Linked DNA regions of Saccharomyces cerevisiae S288C. The gene in region 3 interacts genetically with the main gene of each other region. Each region holds a gene or a part of one and is shown on either strand. Other genes may lie near its edges.

Region 1 (3,472 bases), on a different chromosome or scaffold from region 3:
GCTTGACTGCTCAACAGGGGAGCCTATTCATATAGACCTGGGAATTGCGTTTGATCAGGGAAAATTACTCCCCATTCCAGAGTTGGTCCCTTTCAGATTAACTAGAGATATCGTTGATGGATTTGGAGTCACAGGCGTGGATGGCCTATTCAGGCGGAGTTGTGAAAGAGTTTACGCAGTATTAAGAAAAGATTATGTCAAGGTGATGTGTGTTTTGAATATCTTAAAATGGGATCCCCTTTATTCCTGGGTAATGTCACCAGTTAAAAAATACGAACACTTATTTGAAGAAGAACATGAAATTACAAATTTCGATAACGTCAGCAAGTTCATAAGTAACAACGACAGGAACGAAAACCAAGAGTCTTATAGGGCCCTTAAAGGTGTAGAAGAGAAGCTTATGGGTAATGGACTAAGTGTAGAGTCTAGCGTACAAGATTTGATTCAGCAAGCCACGGATCCATCAAATTTGAGTGTTATATATATGGGATGGTCACCTTTTTATTAATTGCTATGCAGATGCTTTATACTTCTTTTTTTTGTTTATAGAAATACGAAAAGTAATGTACAAACTCAATGTGATGATGTGCCCAAAAATACAATCGCTGATAGTGAAGCTACCATTACTGCTATCCCCCAGATGAATAGAGATAAACTTAAGTATTTGAATATTTTTATGCTTGTCGGTACTCTTTCATTCGTGCCCGTAAATTCTGAGCCAATTAATTTATAACCAAAAAGGCCTGGCAAAATGAAAGAAATCGACGTAGATCCCGTGGCACCAACTATTGCTAGGACTTTTGCTAGAGACGTAATTGAAATAGCCAGTAGATATGAGAACAGTAAGATACAAAGGGTGATAATATTGATATGCCGTAAAGACTCACTACGCAGATTTGGCTCTTCGTTGTTTTGTTGGGTTGGCGCCTCCTGCGGATCTTCACTATTAAAGTTGTCTAATGGAATAAAGCTAGCTCTGTTATCGTATAACTTACCTTTTCTGAAATTTTCAATGAATATAATTATGTTTTTTACCGATGATCTGCAAGGATGGCATTGCAATGGAAATGCTAACATAACTAATAGCAGCATTGCTAACCTCCCGATGGTGGTGGAGATGGAATTCGGGTATAAAGTGAGGATATTTCCTACAATATTCTCACCAAATGTCATATAACCTGTACCACCAATTATGATGTATAAAAAATAGGCCAACACGATGGCAAAAATCGGAATCCTCCTGATTACCTTGAAGCTCTTATCCACTTGCTCATTAATTACACTGAACATATTGTGGTGACAAGTGTAAGCAAACACAAAAATTGGCAATGTAGTCAGGGGAGAATGAGACTGAGAATCTCCGTGAGGTACCATAAAATATACTTGCCCTCTCTCTAGCTGATGCCGATTTACAAAATGGTAAATAATCAAACCAGATAAATATGCGACACTAACAATGGCAATCATAGAAGCATATCGTAGAGAATTCAAACTTCTTTTAAAGCATAAAGGGGAGATAACAAACACTATGATCAGAGTTATATACAAACGCCTGTCTAAGAACATGTGATGCTCTTGCGAACCACTCATGTTATCATCGTTACGATAAAAAATTGACTGCACTATCTGTGGCACTAAGTCACCAACAATAATTAAGTAAGATACACCAACGCCAAAACATTTAACAGCAATGGCAAAATCGAACACTACACTTATTGACGGATTGATTAGTTGGGTGAGTTTAGCAAACGAGGCGTTCTCAGATTTAGGTACGTACTTCGCTATTCGAGTCTGTAATAGCAGCCCACATAAGGAACATATTCCGCAAAATGTTAGCGTTATCAGACCAGGCATTAACCCAAATGGCTTGAATGCAAACGGCATTGCAAGTACGCCTGCTCCACATGCTGTATGGAGCAAAGTTAAGACTCCCGAACGTACGTTTGACGGCATATTGAGGAAGCTGCTTACTTTTCGTTTCCACTTTATCTTGCTGTTCGTTCGAGCAACAGTATTTATTTCCTTTTTTTGACGATGGAAATAATGGATAAGTGAAGTCATAGAATAAAAAATATACAAAAATTTAACTAAATAGTTACGCATTACCTATTTACAAAGACGGAAATCAATGGCGAAAATTTCACAATATTCAAGAGTTGATGGTACGATTAGTATCCTTTCCTCTTGGCATCTTTAACAATTTCAATCAACCTCTTGAAGCCCATCATGAATTCCTTCCTATGCCTTTGAGATCTCTTCAATTCAGCCACTTTCCCCGGCTTCATGTAAAACCGTTGACTTCTTTTATCTCCGGGAATATTGTTCTCAAACATGATCCTGTTTAATCTCTTAAATGATTCTGCAGGGTTGTTCTTATTCACGATTATAGATTTTCCAGAATTGAATCTCATTTGTGCATTCTCCACGCTACTTCTAGCAATTTCCGCCTCGGATAGAAGCTCCCTCTTGTTTATTCTCCCAGCAGATTGCATCATATCTACTGGAATTTCCATTGATAAAATATCTGCATTATCAGTTTTGCTTTTAGAGGTTTGGCCACGATCGCTGTTGCTTCCCTGAGCTAATTTGATTGGATTTAGTATGATTTTATCGATATCCGAATTTTGTTGGCGTAAACAGTCGATCGTTGTGAAACCTCTTCTGAGAGAGATTCTTGAAAGCCTCAGCGTGCTCTTCAACATTATGGTTATGCTCTTATGGGTGATATTTGACAGATTTTTTACTCTTCAAGGGACCTTTAATGACCTGGTCTCACTTATTTTTTATTTTCAATCTTGGGAAAGAAGCGAACTTAAAAAAGAAAGGAAGCCATAGCAAGAAGCTAATAAGTGGGCTTTTACATCAACAAGTACTGTAGAAGCTCTACCGTATTGAAAAATGACAGACGCTGAAATAGAAAATTCCCCTGCTTCTGATTTAAAAGAATTGAATTTGGAGAATGAAGGCGTTGAACAGCAAGACCAGGCAAAAGCTGACGAGTCAGACCCAGTAGAAAGCAAAAAGAAGAAGAACAAGAAAAAGAAGAAGAAGAAAAGCAATGTGAAGAAGATTGAATTACTGTTTCCAGATGGAAAGTACCCAGAAGGTGCGTGGATGGACTATCATCAAGATTTCAATCTGCAAAGAACCACGGATGAAGAATCACGTTATTTGAAAAGGGATCTGGAAAGGGCCGAACATTGGAATGATGTCAGAAAGGGTGCTGAGATACATCGTCGTGTGAGAAGGGCCATCAAGGACAGAATCGTTCCTGGGATGAAGTTAATGGATATCGCTGACATGATCGAAAATACTACAAGAAAGTATACAGGTGCCGAAAATTTATTAGCGATGGAGGATCCCAAATCTCAAGGTATTGGGTTTCCAACGGGTCTCTCTCTCAACCATTGTGCTGCACATTTCACACCCAATGCAGGCGACAAAACCGTTCTGAAATACGAAGACGTGATGA
Region 2 (3,362 bases), on a different chromosome or scaffold from region 3:
AGGAAATAAACATGCACTAACCATTTGCACAACGCAGATTGTAGGACCGGAGGCGTTTGTATGCGATATCTAGAGAATACCGTTGGCGTACCGAGATGGTTAATAATCTCCAAAAGAAGTTCCTTCGTCAAGTAGCCATCAGGTAAAAAGCAATTTTCGACGATGTACACTTTTGTAACTGTGTCTATTATGGAAGTTTCACAGAGTAACCTTACAAGTGCTTGTAGTTGCGGCGAAGAAAGACCATATTGTTTTGATTTTTCGTATAGCAGGCTTAAAGTGGTTTTAAGGGCCTGTGGTGGCGTTCGTTCGTTAGCATTCGTTAGTGAGAGGATGATATCATCTAGTATAAGACTCATTCATGTAAAAAAAACAAAAATTGAAGGGCGAACCGTATTAGCAGGCGTATTGTTTTTCATTTCATAGTTGATTGTTTTTGATAATAAATGATTCTATAATTTTTCGCGTATTATACAAATAAAAGTAAAAGAAAAATAAGATAGAGGGACATATAAAGAAATAGATGTTTTTATAATAAAGGTCTATACAGTATGGAGCGTCGCGTGGCTTGGCTCAAACTTTTAGAGAACCATTGTAGTCATAAACGGATCTTGATCTGATGTACGGATCTAACTTGGAGTAGTTTTCACAAAGAGCGGTGGAAAGTTGTACTCTTTTCTCCTGCAGTTGAATGTATGCTGGATCGTTCAATGGCTGGTGTTCAATCCATTGGGCAGTGACAGTCAAGAATTGTTCGACCAATTCTTCTCTCTCCTTTTCGATCATAGCGCGAGTCTCGGTGTCTTTCAGATGGACGTCCAAAGAGCCATCTGGTGGAGTGTAATGATCCAAATCATTGTCATTTTCTCCGCCCAGATACCTAGGGATGTATTGGGGTTGGATAAACTTGTGCAATTCGTCGATATTCTTAGTGAAAACAATCTTGGACGCGACGACCGGATCCAGCCAATTCTTGATGATGTTCCAAATCGGGTTAAAGATCCAAGGGGCCTTATGGATAAGTAGATGGCCCAAAGATTCCGGGTAGTGAGCCTCAAAACAAGTGATTAGAAACTTGACGGGGGCATAGTCCATATTGGACATGGAGAACCCGTTCAGATCGAACAAGATGGTGGTGGATGCGGGGTAGTTTTCTTTGAAGAAAAGCTTTGATTGCTCGATGACCAACAGGGAGAATTTTTCCAGCTCCTGTTCAGTTTGGTCGGAAGAATGATGTAATCTAGGTCTCACAAGGATGACTGGCCTCATGTCATTGTCGTAACCCTGGATGGTGGCCTTTTGCAATTCCAGGTTCTTAATGACACCGGTCTCGTTATTCTCATACACAGCTCTTTCGCCACCGTTTATGATCTTGTTAATAGTGTCCTTGCGCCAGTACAAATCGTGACCCAACATGGCGATGGTCTTGTCTGCGTTCCACTTTCTGGCTCTGATAAACTTCAAAATGGTGGCGTCTGGAGTTTCATTCTTGATATCGTGCCAGAACTGCTTCTTGGTCGTTTGCGGGTCTAGATTGGCTAGTGCCTTGTGTATCTTGCCCTTTTCATAGAGGTGTGCCGCTTCAGCGGCTTCGCTGGAGTCCTGTGTATGGTCTGAGGACTGAAGCTTGCTAAACCAGGATGATTTCTTCTTCTTAGCAGGGGTGGACGAGGAGTGGAGGGAGTTATTAGGGAAAATATGAGTTCCATCCACGGGAACTTGCCACAGATGGAAAAGGTGTGTCCAAATTTGCTTAAGGACGACCTCCTGGTCTTCGGTCAACTGTCTATCAAAGGACATAATCTAGTTTATATGTGGTCTTCTTATGTGCTTTTGTGCTTTTATGCTTCTGTGTGCGTACGTATCCGTATATTTGTATGTTTGATTTTGTTTAAAGGAGCGTAAGTGACAAGTGCCAAGATTTAAAGAGCGTACCAAACGCTATTGTTTTCACCATGTGAACAAAGCTGTAACGATTTTATGTACGTACGCAAGAGGACGATGCCGATTGAAGGCAGGAGCTCAACAAACACGAAACAAAACAACGAAGAAAGAAAAGAAATATATCAGAGAACAGAGACCGCCTCGTTTAGGGCCGCACGTATACCGCGCACTCTTGGGACGCAGGGACGCGATGGCCTTGCCATGTGCAAGATAAACAAGCTGTCAACGGCACAAGTAGCGTTTATTTGAGACCTGCTTGCTTTAGCTTGCATCATCTCTTGTTCTTCTTACAGTGGTCGCCTTAGACCATCCCATTAGCCAGTTCATGGCCAACTCTCCGTGTGACATGACGAGTGGTTTTCCCGAGTGGAAAGGTTCAGAAATGCATCTGGATTCCGATGGCATACGGTAATTGCCGGCATTATAACACTGTACTACCGAATCCGTCGTTCGTCACCATATTAATTTTCACTCTTGTTGCAGTTATACCGCTATAAGCAATTGAGCCTGCTGAAAGCTTGCTATAAGCTAGAATGTATTGAATGTATTCATCTTCCTTACATCTCTCTCTCTCTTCACACTTGTTACCCGGCGCGGCAGCGCTCCAGATTTTTCGCTTTACGTGTTCTCTCTCATTCTCTTTGTCGTTCTCTCTCATTCTTTCTTTCGGCAACTTTTGCCAAACAACAAGCATAATTCCTGCCTTGAATTGGCGTTACGGTGGTAACGTAGTTTAGTGTAAAAACAACAAATCAAGGACCTCACTTTGCACCCTCCATCCTCAATTCCTGCTCCCAATCGGAAACTTCAGCGGCCTCCGAACTAACCTTTTTTTCAGTCCTCAATTCAACCTCACTCCATTTACTACAAGGTTCAGTTGGTGAAAGCAAAAGAAAAAAACATAGTTAAATATAGTAGCAAGTAGAAAAACTGACACTGGTTCACGCTTTACTTTGAAAATGTCCTCCAACCGTGTTCTAGACTTGTTTAAGCCATTTGAATCTTTCCTGCCGGAAGTGATTGCTCCAGAAAGGAAGGTTCCATACAACCAGAAACTTATCTGGACAGGCGTTTCTCTACTGATCTTTTTGATTCTGGGCCAGATTCCGCTGTACGGGATCGTGTCCAGTGAGACTTCCGACCCTCTGTACTGGCTACGTGCCATGCTGGCCTCCAACCGTGGTACTTTACTGGAATTGGGTGTTTCGCCCATCATCACTTCATCTATGATTTTCCAATTTTTGCAGGGTACTCAGCTTTTACAAATCAGACCTGAGAGCAAGCAGGACAGAGAGCTGTTCCAAATTGCTCAAAAGGTGTGCGCTATTATTCTGATCTTGGGCCAAGCCCTTGTGGTCGTCATGACAGGTAACTACGGTGCCCCTTCGGACCTCGGATTGCCCATCTGTTTGTTGTTA
Region 3 (3,355 bases):
TTGATAAGAAGATTATCGTAAGATATACATGGGATGCATGGAGAACTTTTCATGAATCAGAATGCGTGTATTTTTCTAATGCCAATGGCATCTTACCAGGAAGCAATATGGATATTTTTAAGTTCTCCATTGATGATATACACAATCCAAATGATAAAGATAGCAATATATCACAATTGGAGTTTTGTATTCAATACTTAACTTGGGGCGTTGATCGTTCTAGGAAGGAATATTGGGACAATAATGATTCGGCAAACTATAAAATTGACGTGGTAACGAATGAAACGAGGACAGGGCCCACAACAGACGTCAATGATAACTACGAGATGAAACATAGTCTTTTCAGAAACCCATTCCATTAAAGAAAAAAACAAAAACTAATAGTATTGTTTTACATATACAAAAGAAAAAAAAAAGATAAGAATACGTACTTTCTATTTTTATTTGAAGGTCATTTTCTTTATATAAAATAATATACTGGAATGATGTTCTTTTTGTTGCTTTCTATATTTGCTTTCTTTTTTTACTTTTTATTCAACTCCAGACGTTCTTAAATAACTCGTTATCATCCAATGAAATGTTAGAACTGGAATTTGAATTCATACTATTATTATTTGTAGCGGTAATTCCAGTGTTCACGAATGGTGACGGAGTATTACAAGGCTGAGGTGTCGTGGAAGTGAAAAATGAGTTCTGGCTTTGAGTCTGGGCAGAAGGTTTTGAGTATAAAGATAAAATGGATTTTTTCAAATCGTTCCTTTGCCCAAATTCACCGACTCTGTTGCCAGTCTTGGTATTAGCAGCACCTATGCTTGTTGCAGAACTAGTTACACTTGTATTAGATGTAGTCTTAGAAAGCGATGAAACCTGTAGGTTTAATAAGCTCGTATTACTCCTTGAGGTGCTTAATAAGTGGGAAGGTGGTTGTGTTTGCGTCTTTTGTAATGAATTTGAGCTCTGGTCCAATCTTGCATTCGAAGCAGGCAACGAATGATTCGCAGACGGCTTATGCAGAACTGGTTCAGTAGAATCATTTAACCCTTCAATACTGGAGAGGTCACCAATCCACTTCTTATATTCATATTTATTCTTGATGAAATTTTGTAAACTGCTCGTATCAGTGATTTTCCTCTGTTTCAATTCATCAGCCAAAGTAGCTTCGTAGTATGAGTTAGCTCTTAAATTGTTTTTGAACTGTATCAGTTTCACCAAATGTTCTTCCTTCCATGTATCCAGATCAACAGATTTCACTTTCGAAATGTGCGTTCCCAATGATCTATGTATACCAGCACATTTAATGCAAATGAAAACACCAAGTGACCAGGAAGCCCAGCGTGGATGTAGTTGCGCCTTACAGTCGGCACAATGACTGTTTCCTGGATCGCGTAAAAGAGCACTTAATGCCTTCTTGACTGGGACTGACGTCGACATCGCTTGTAAATTGCCCCACGTTCTATGCTCCTTTGTACAGTTGAAGCAAGTATTACCTTTACTTTTGTTACTATTAGTACCGATCTTATACGTATTATCGAGTCGAAAATCGTCCAGCACGAAATATGGAAACGGTGCGTTTAGGTGACTAAACTAAATAGCGTATATATTATATATGTTCCAATCTATATATATATATATGGCACTCTGTTACAGTTCCTTATCTTAAAACACAAACACCTGGTCTTCCATCTTGGAAAGCGGTTTGGAACGTCTGAACCCCAAGTCCACGGTACTTCTTCTAACTGAGGCAACCATGGCTGGAGGACCACAGATCAAAATTTGAACGTTGTCCATTGTAGCAGCGGGCAAGTGTTCCTTGATGACATCCTTGGTAATGTATCCTACACCACCAGTCCAGTCTTCACGGTCAGGAGAGTCTAAGTAGTAAACTATCTTAAATTGGGAAGGCTTCATGGCCACCAACGCTTCCAGTTCCTTCTTCAACAGAATATCCTCCTCATGGACGTTCCCAAAGACTAGAGAGACCTTGGTAGTGTCGTGAGGGTCCATGGCAATAGCTTTCATGATCTGATACATGGGCGCAATACCAGTACCACCAGCAATCATCCCTAGATGGGAACGGCAGTTTCTCTCATAATGATAGTTCCCACGAGGGCCCTTGATCTGGATCGAGTCACCTATCTTCAACTCTCCAATCATCTTAGAAACGTTACCTGTGGGGTAAGACTTCACTAGTAATTCAAAGTTTCCCTTTGTATCTCCATCCAACGATGTGGGCGTATACGATCTGGTAATATCCTTACCATTGATATTGGCCTTAATTACGATATGCTGACCAATTGGTAAACCGAGTACGTCGTCAGCATGAGGTAGCCCGAACTTGTACATCGAAGTATTATGCGTTAAGATGGTTTTTTCAACCAGCGGAAATGATTGGAAGTCATTCCTTTTGGGATCCAGCACAGGCTTGGTCTTCGGTCCGATAATGAACTTGAAGAGCAAAGGCACGACCACGATCACGATGACCACCACAAGCTTTTGAGCATCAATAGCCATCTTCGATTGCTTAATTGATTGAGTCTCTTGTTGAAGAGCCAGTTGAATGCATACTTTCAACACTTTTTTTTCTCGTTCATTTTTTCGCCTTATATAATAAGAATATTTATACATATGTAGATAATTTAAAGAAGTAGAAAGAGCCCTTAATGGTACCGCTTTACGAGGAAATTTAGCACTGTTACTTTTTGGAGAGTAGTGCAGTCTTAGAAGGGCCTTTGAGCTTGATGTACACGTCCGTGCCCCAGCCAAGTAAACTTTGAACGTCAATCTTGCCCCCAAACAGTTCTAGGTACGTCTTGCACATTGGTAGACCAAAGCCCATGCCGGAGACGTTGTTGATTTGCTCGCCGGGCAGATCTGTAGACTCAGAGTCAGCTGATTGTTGGGTATGTGTAGAGTAAGAGTAGTTGAACATGAGGGCCTCTACCTCGGGCGTGATCCCACCACCATGGTCCCGTATCCGTAAGTACAGCTCGTCATCGTCTGGCTTTAAAAGATTGATCTCTATGGGCATATGTTCCTTTCCAAGAGCTATCTGAGCTTCAAAAGCGTTCTTGAATACCTCTGTCATAATATACTCCAGAATGGGCGGAATGCACGTGAATGTGATGTCTTGTGATGGCGGGTGAATTAGGACCGGGGTCCGCTGAGTGTTGAACTTCACAAAGCATATATCATTGACATAATCAGAAACGTGCTTGATCAATTGTGCTATGGGGAGGTCCCGGTGCAAGATTCCAATCATCCTTTTGTTCGTGTCACCTTTGTTCTGTGCCATCAACGACAAATAGTGCGTCACAAGCAGCTTCATCGTGATTCTCTCCTTCAGGTGGAAGTTCAA
Region 4 (3,692 bases), on a different chromosome or scaffold from region 3:
GATATTTCTTTGCTTTCCATTTTGTGCTATTTTCTTTTGTTGTTTAGTAAATGAATTAGCTAGTAAAAAAACTAAATTTAAAAAGCAAATGCTGGTTTGCTTTCTTTTGAGAAATGTTTGCTAAGACAACTGACTAGCCAGGTGTTCACTAAATCGATAATATTGAAAATGGCAAAATAAGAAAAAAAAAGAAGAGAATTAGCTGGCTTTTTTTGGATAGGAAATATTAAATGAAGCAGTTGGAACCAAGATAATAAACAAAAACAGTATATTAAGTGACTCTTTAGTATATATCTGAACTAACAAGTAAAATATCGATGTTAGAAATGGTTACAATAGAAGAAAGTAGTGTCATTCTTTCGCGTCAAAAAAAAAAAATGGAATTTGTGTCTTTTTCGTTTTTATGTGTCATTTTTTTTTATCCCTGATGCCGCATTGTTCCGAACCTGGGACAGCTCCGAAATATAACTTGAGGAAAAAGTATTAGAAAAGGGAAAAAAATACAGTTAAATTATCATATATGTTATTTTTTGTCCTTTTTGGCCAATTTTAAAGACTTATGCATTGTTAATAAGTTTGTTGGGGACATCAAATTTTGAGAAGACTTAGGAATGGAGCTCAAACTCCACCTTTTACTTGCTGAGGCACTTCTTTCAGGTATGTTAACTCTCAAATCGTGTTTCTTATTGTAGGACGAAGCTGAATCTACATTTGAATGCATATTTAAATGCGGCCCTGATCTTGGACGAGAAGTATTTACAGCTTGGAATGTTCCGTACATCTCCAACTTAGTTTCCCAATATTCTAAAACCTTTGGAGACCAATTCGTAGTAATCTTCGGTAAATTATCTATATGAATACCATTGCACAATAAAAATTCTGTAATAAAAAAAATGGGCGTTCCATCAACAATTTCATAGTGCTTTAGGGAATATTGAAAAATGGAAGAATGGTTTAGATCATTCTGCTCTTTTTCGCTTGCCGTCAATTCTCTTAGGGAATATTTACTTTGGGCGATGGCTCTTTGCATCATGAAAACACTATCTAAATGGATAGCTTTAATTAAAGACTTCAAAGAAGCCTCTCTGCCTTGGTTGCTGTCGATAACAAACTTTTTAAATTGATACTTATCAATAATGAATTTGGATCTTTCCGAGTCATCAGAATTTGCAGTTATTTTTTTAACTGGAAAGTTCCTGAGATTGCTTTCATAAATGGCATTAACATTACTATTGGAAACATTATTTTGTAAAAGATGCATCAACTCTAACGAGGTGAAATTATCCAGCGTTAAAGATCTAATTTTGGAGATATGTGAACCCAGAGATCGATGAACGCCCGAACATTTGATACACAATATACACAATAAATTGATTGACACCCATTCTACTGTTGCGGTGCTACCGCAGTCACAACACTTCAAATTAGATTTATCAATTTTGCGCACGATTGATAGCAGTTCGTCTCTATTGGAGGCTCCCGCATTAGCAAAAGAGAAATGCTGTGTATGCTGTTTGGAGGAATCTGTTTTTGTAGGAATACGGTTATTACTATTACTGTTGCTACTGCTACTATGAATGGGATGAGTTTGATGATTGATGTGATGAGAATGCGTAGATTTGTGTTGGCTCCCACTAAGACGGGTTGATAAATATGTAAATGACAGTTGGGGTGAACGAAATGGAAATCCTGATGGTAAAGAAGGAGGTATTTGTAGTAATATCAATGATTCTTTCGCGGCCATTAATAAAGCGATGCTTTTTAAAATAACACAATATACCTCAAAACCTCGATCATCCTCGCAGCGGTTCGTTTGAAATTTACATCGAAGAGATTTAAGAAGAATATTAGTTAACTTTAACGCGTTGTTGCACCATGATGGATACTGTGCTTTTGATGCTGTTCTTGCTACTGTTCCTTTACTGAACAAAGGCACAACATTTTTGTTGATATCAGTAGTATAAAAATCCATTATTGATGGAACATCCAGAAAAATGTATTCAAAATGACTGGTACAGCTACCTTAACCACTCTGCCTCAATGTGATTTTTATCCTCTTTTTCGCTCAAATTTTTACTTTTCTTCTCTCTTCGTCAAGTACTATTATAACGACAGCGATAGGAAAAAAAACCAACATCGGACGAGAATAAATAATACTTTAGCGTTCAAAATGACATTCCTTTAAAATTCGATATGAAATTTTCCGCGATTAATTCGCCGAGAATACGACAAAAAAAAAGATAAACATCAGAAAATTCTATTATTAGATTAGATTTTATATTAGATAATGAATTAATACAGGTAATAATTATAGAGAGGAAATAAAAATAAACAGATAAGTTATTTACATCTTCTAACTAATATTCCATTACAAGTGAACGAACATGAAAAGATCATATAAAACCCTTCCAACATATTTTTTTTCCTTCTTTGGTCCCTTCAAGGAAAGAGCGGTCTTTCTTCTTGTTCTATAATAATATTATTAAAAAAGCACATAAAAACTTGATTGTGTAGCGATAATAAAAAAATTTTTTCGATATTATAGGAGTATAATGTCTCTAAACTCAAAATTAAAGAACTTAGAATAAGAAAGCGACACCGGCAGCGACGGCAGCACCGAAGACACCAGCACCCAAAGCGTTGGAAGCAGCAGCACCAGTGGAGATCTTGGTGCTGGTGGTGTTGGAACCGTTGGTACGGTTGGAACCATTGGTAGAAACGTTAGCAGCTTGGACAGCGGCAACAGTAGCGAAGGCAGCGACGATGGTCTTGAATTGCATTGTTTTGTTGATGATTAGTGTTGATTGAAACTTATGTTTAATGATGATTTTCCTCTAAAATCAAAAACAATATTAACTAATAAAGTAAATAATACAGTAGGAGAAGATGGAAAAGAAAATCAAGAATTTCTCGAGTTCCTTATATATGAGGAGAAAAGCCAGGAAAACCACCGCGATGACACACAGCACCATATCTCATGTAACAAACGTGAAAAAAGCGATGATTTTTTTTCTGCTTTCTTTTTCTCATTTCTCAAGCGGATATTCCGCTTGCAAAAAGAAAAGGCGTGGCTCTGGTCTTCGCTATTTTGGAAATAAACTTTGGCGTCCTACGCCCAGAAGCGGCCAAAGCGGCCAATCACGCCCGAAGACGGGACCGCACGGCTCCCAACGAGTCGTTTTTTTGGAACTGAAAAAGGCCCAACGTTGGGCCTAGGCCCTTACCGCGCCCATTTCGGAAACTGCATTACTTTTTCGGGACGTATTCTCGGGAAATAAGCAGGTCCAGATCCGCGTAGCATGAATGGGGCGCCAAAACAGTCGCGGGTAACGAAAGAGCGCAACCACGCGTATATTCCGGGCCGGTGAGGGGCAACGCGCATTGTCCCGGGGCGATATAATCCATGTACCGGAACCCGCACTTTTTCGACTTTCTTTCCCCTTTTCCTGTCTCCTATTGTGCGAGAAAGGTTTGATTGACAAGAGATCTTTACTGATCGATCTTAGTTAGTCCTCGAATAAGCATTTTGCAAGTACCAGTCATCGTATTAGAGAACATACAACTTTAGAATTACACTATGCACGCCCGCGACTGGTTTTTAGTTTTTATTGCAATTTTCATTCCTCCCTTAGCAGTCTGGCTAAAAAGAGGTTTTTTTACCAAGGATCTGCTCATTAACTTTCTGTTATTTT

The links.
Region 1: mutations in AGE2 (region 3) and AVT5 together harm fitness more than expected from each alone (negative genetic interaction), as found in Saccharomyces cerevisiae (2 studies listed by BioGRID).
Region 2: of AGE2 (region 3) and CSR1, extra expression of one rescues a mutant of the other (dosage rescue), as found in Saccharomyces cerevisiae (one study listed by BioGRID).
Region 4: of AGE2 (region 3) and AGE1, a mutation in one rescues a mutant of the other (synthetic rescue), as found in Saccharomyces cerevisiae (2 studies listed by BioGRID, with this or other methods).

What each region holds. Positions count from the first base shown.
Region 1 is NC_001134.8:48,055-51,526, reverse strand, and holds AVT5 (amino acid transporter), read right to left. Parts: upstream 1,954-3,472; coding exon 574-1,953; downstream 1-573. Other genes in the region: DNA-binding protein kinase TEL1, read left to right, coding at 1-508; mitochondrial 37S ribosomal protein bS21m MRP21, read right to left, coding at 2,169-2,702; MAP2 (methionine aminopeptidase), read left to right, coding at 2,899-3,472. UniProt on the Saccharomyces cerevisiae protein: Probable amino acid transporter of unknown specificity.
Region 2 is NC_001144.5:876,720-880,081, reverse strand, and holds CSR1 (Csr1p), read right to left. Parts: upstream 1,801-3,362; coding exon 574-1,800; downstream 1-573. Other genes in the region: CTF3 (Ctf3p), read right to left, coding at 1-359; YLR379W-A (uncharacterized protein), read right to left, coding at 2,366-2,638; translocon subunit SEC61, read left to right, coding at 2,904-3,362. UniProt on the Saccharomyces cerevisiae protein: Non-classical phosphatidylinositol (PtdIns) transfer protein (PITP), which exhibits PtdIns-binding/transfer activity in the absence of detectable PtdCho-binding/transfer activity.
Region 3 is NC_001141.2:272,416-275,770, forward strand, and holds AGE2 (GTPase-activating protein AGE2), read right to left. Parts: upstream 1,432-3,355; coding exon 535-1,431; downstream 1-534. Other genes in the region: putative protein phosphatase regulator PIG2, read left to right, coding at 1-362; CBR1 (cytochrome-b5 reductase), read right to left, coding at 1,657-2,511; protein kinase PKP1, read right to left, coding at 2,693-3,355. UniProt on the Saccharomyces cerevisiae protein: GTPase-activating protein for the ADP ribosylation factor family.
Region 4 is NC_001136.10:1,487,019-1,490,710, forward strand, and holds AGE1 (GTPase-activating protein AGE1), read right to left. Parts: upstream 1,973-3,692; coding exon 524-1,972; downstream 1-523. Other genes in the region: putative serine/threonine protein kinase SPS1, read right to left, coding at 1-20; YDR524W-C (uncharacterized protein), read left to right, coding at 2,385-2,474; YDR524C-B (uncharacterized protein), read right to left, coding at 2,580-2,780; API2 (Api2p), read left to right, coding at 2,887-3,216; SNA2 (Sna2p), read left to right, coding at 3,578-3,692. UniProt on the Saccharomyces cerevisiae protein: GTPase-activating protein (GAP) for the ADP ribosylation factors ARF1 and ARF2. May be involved in the endocytic pathway.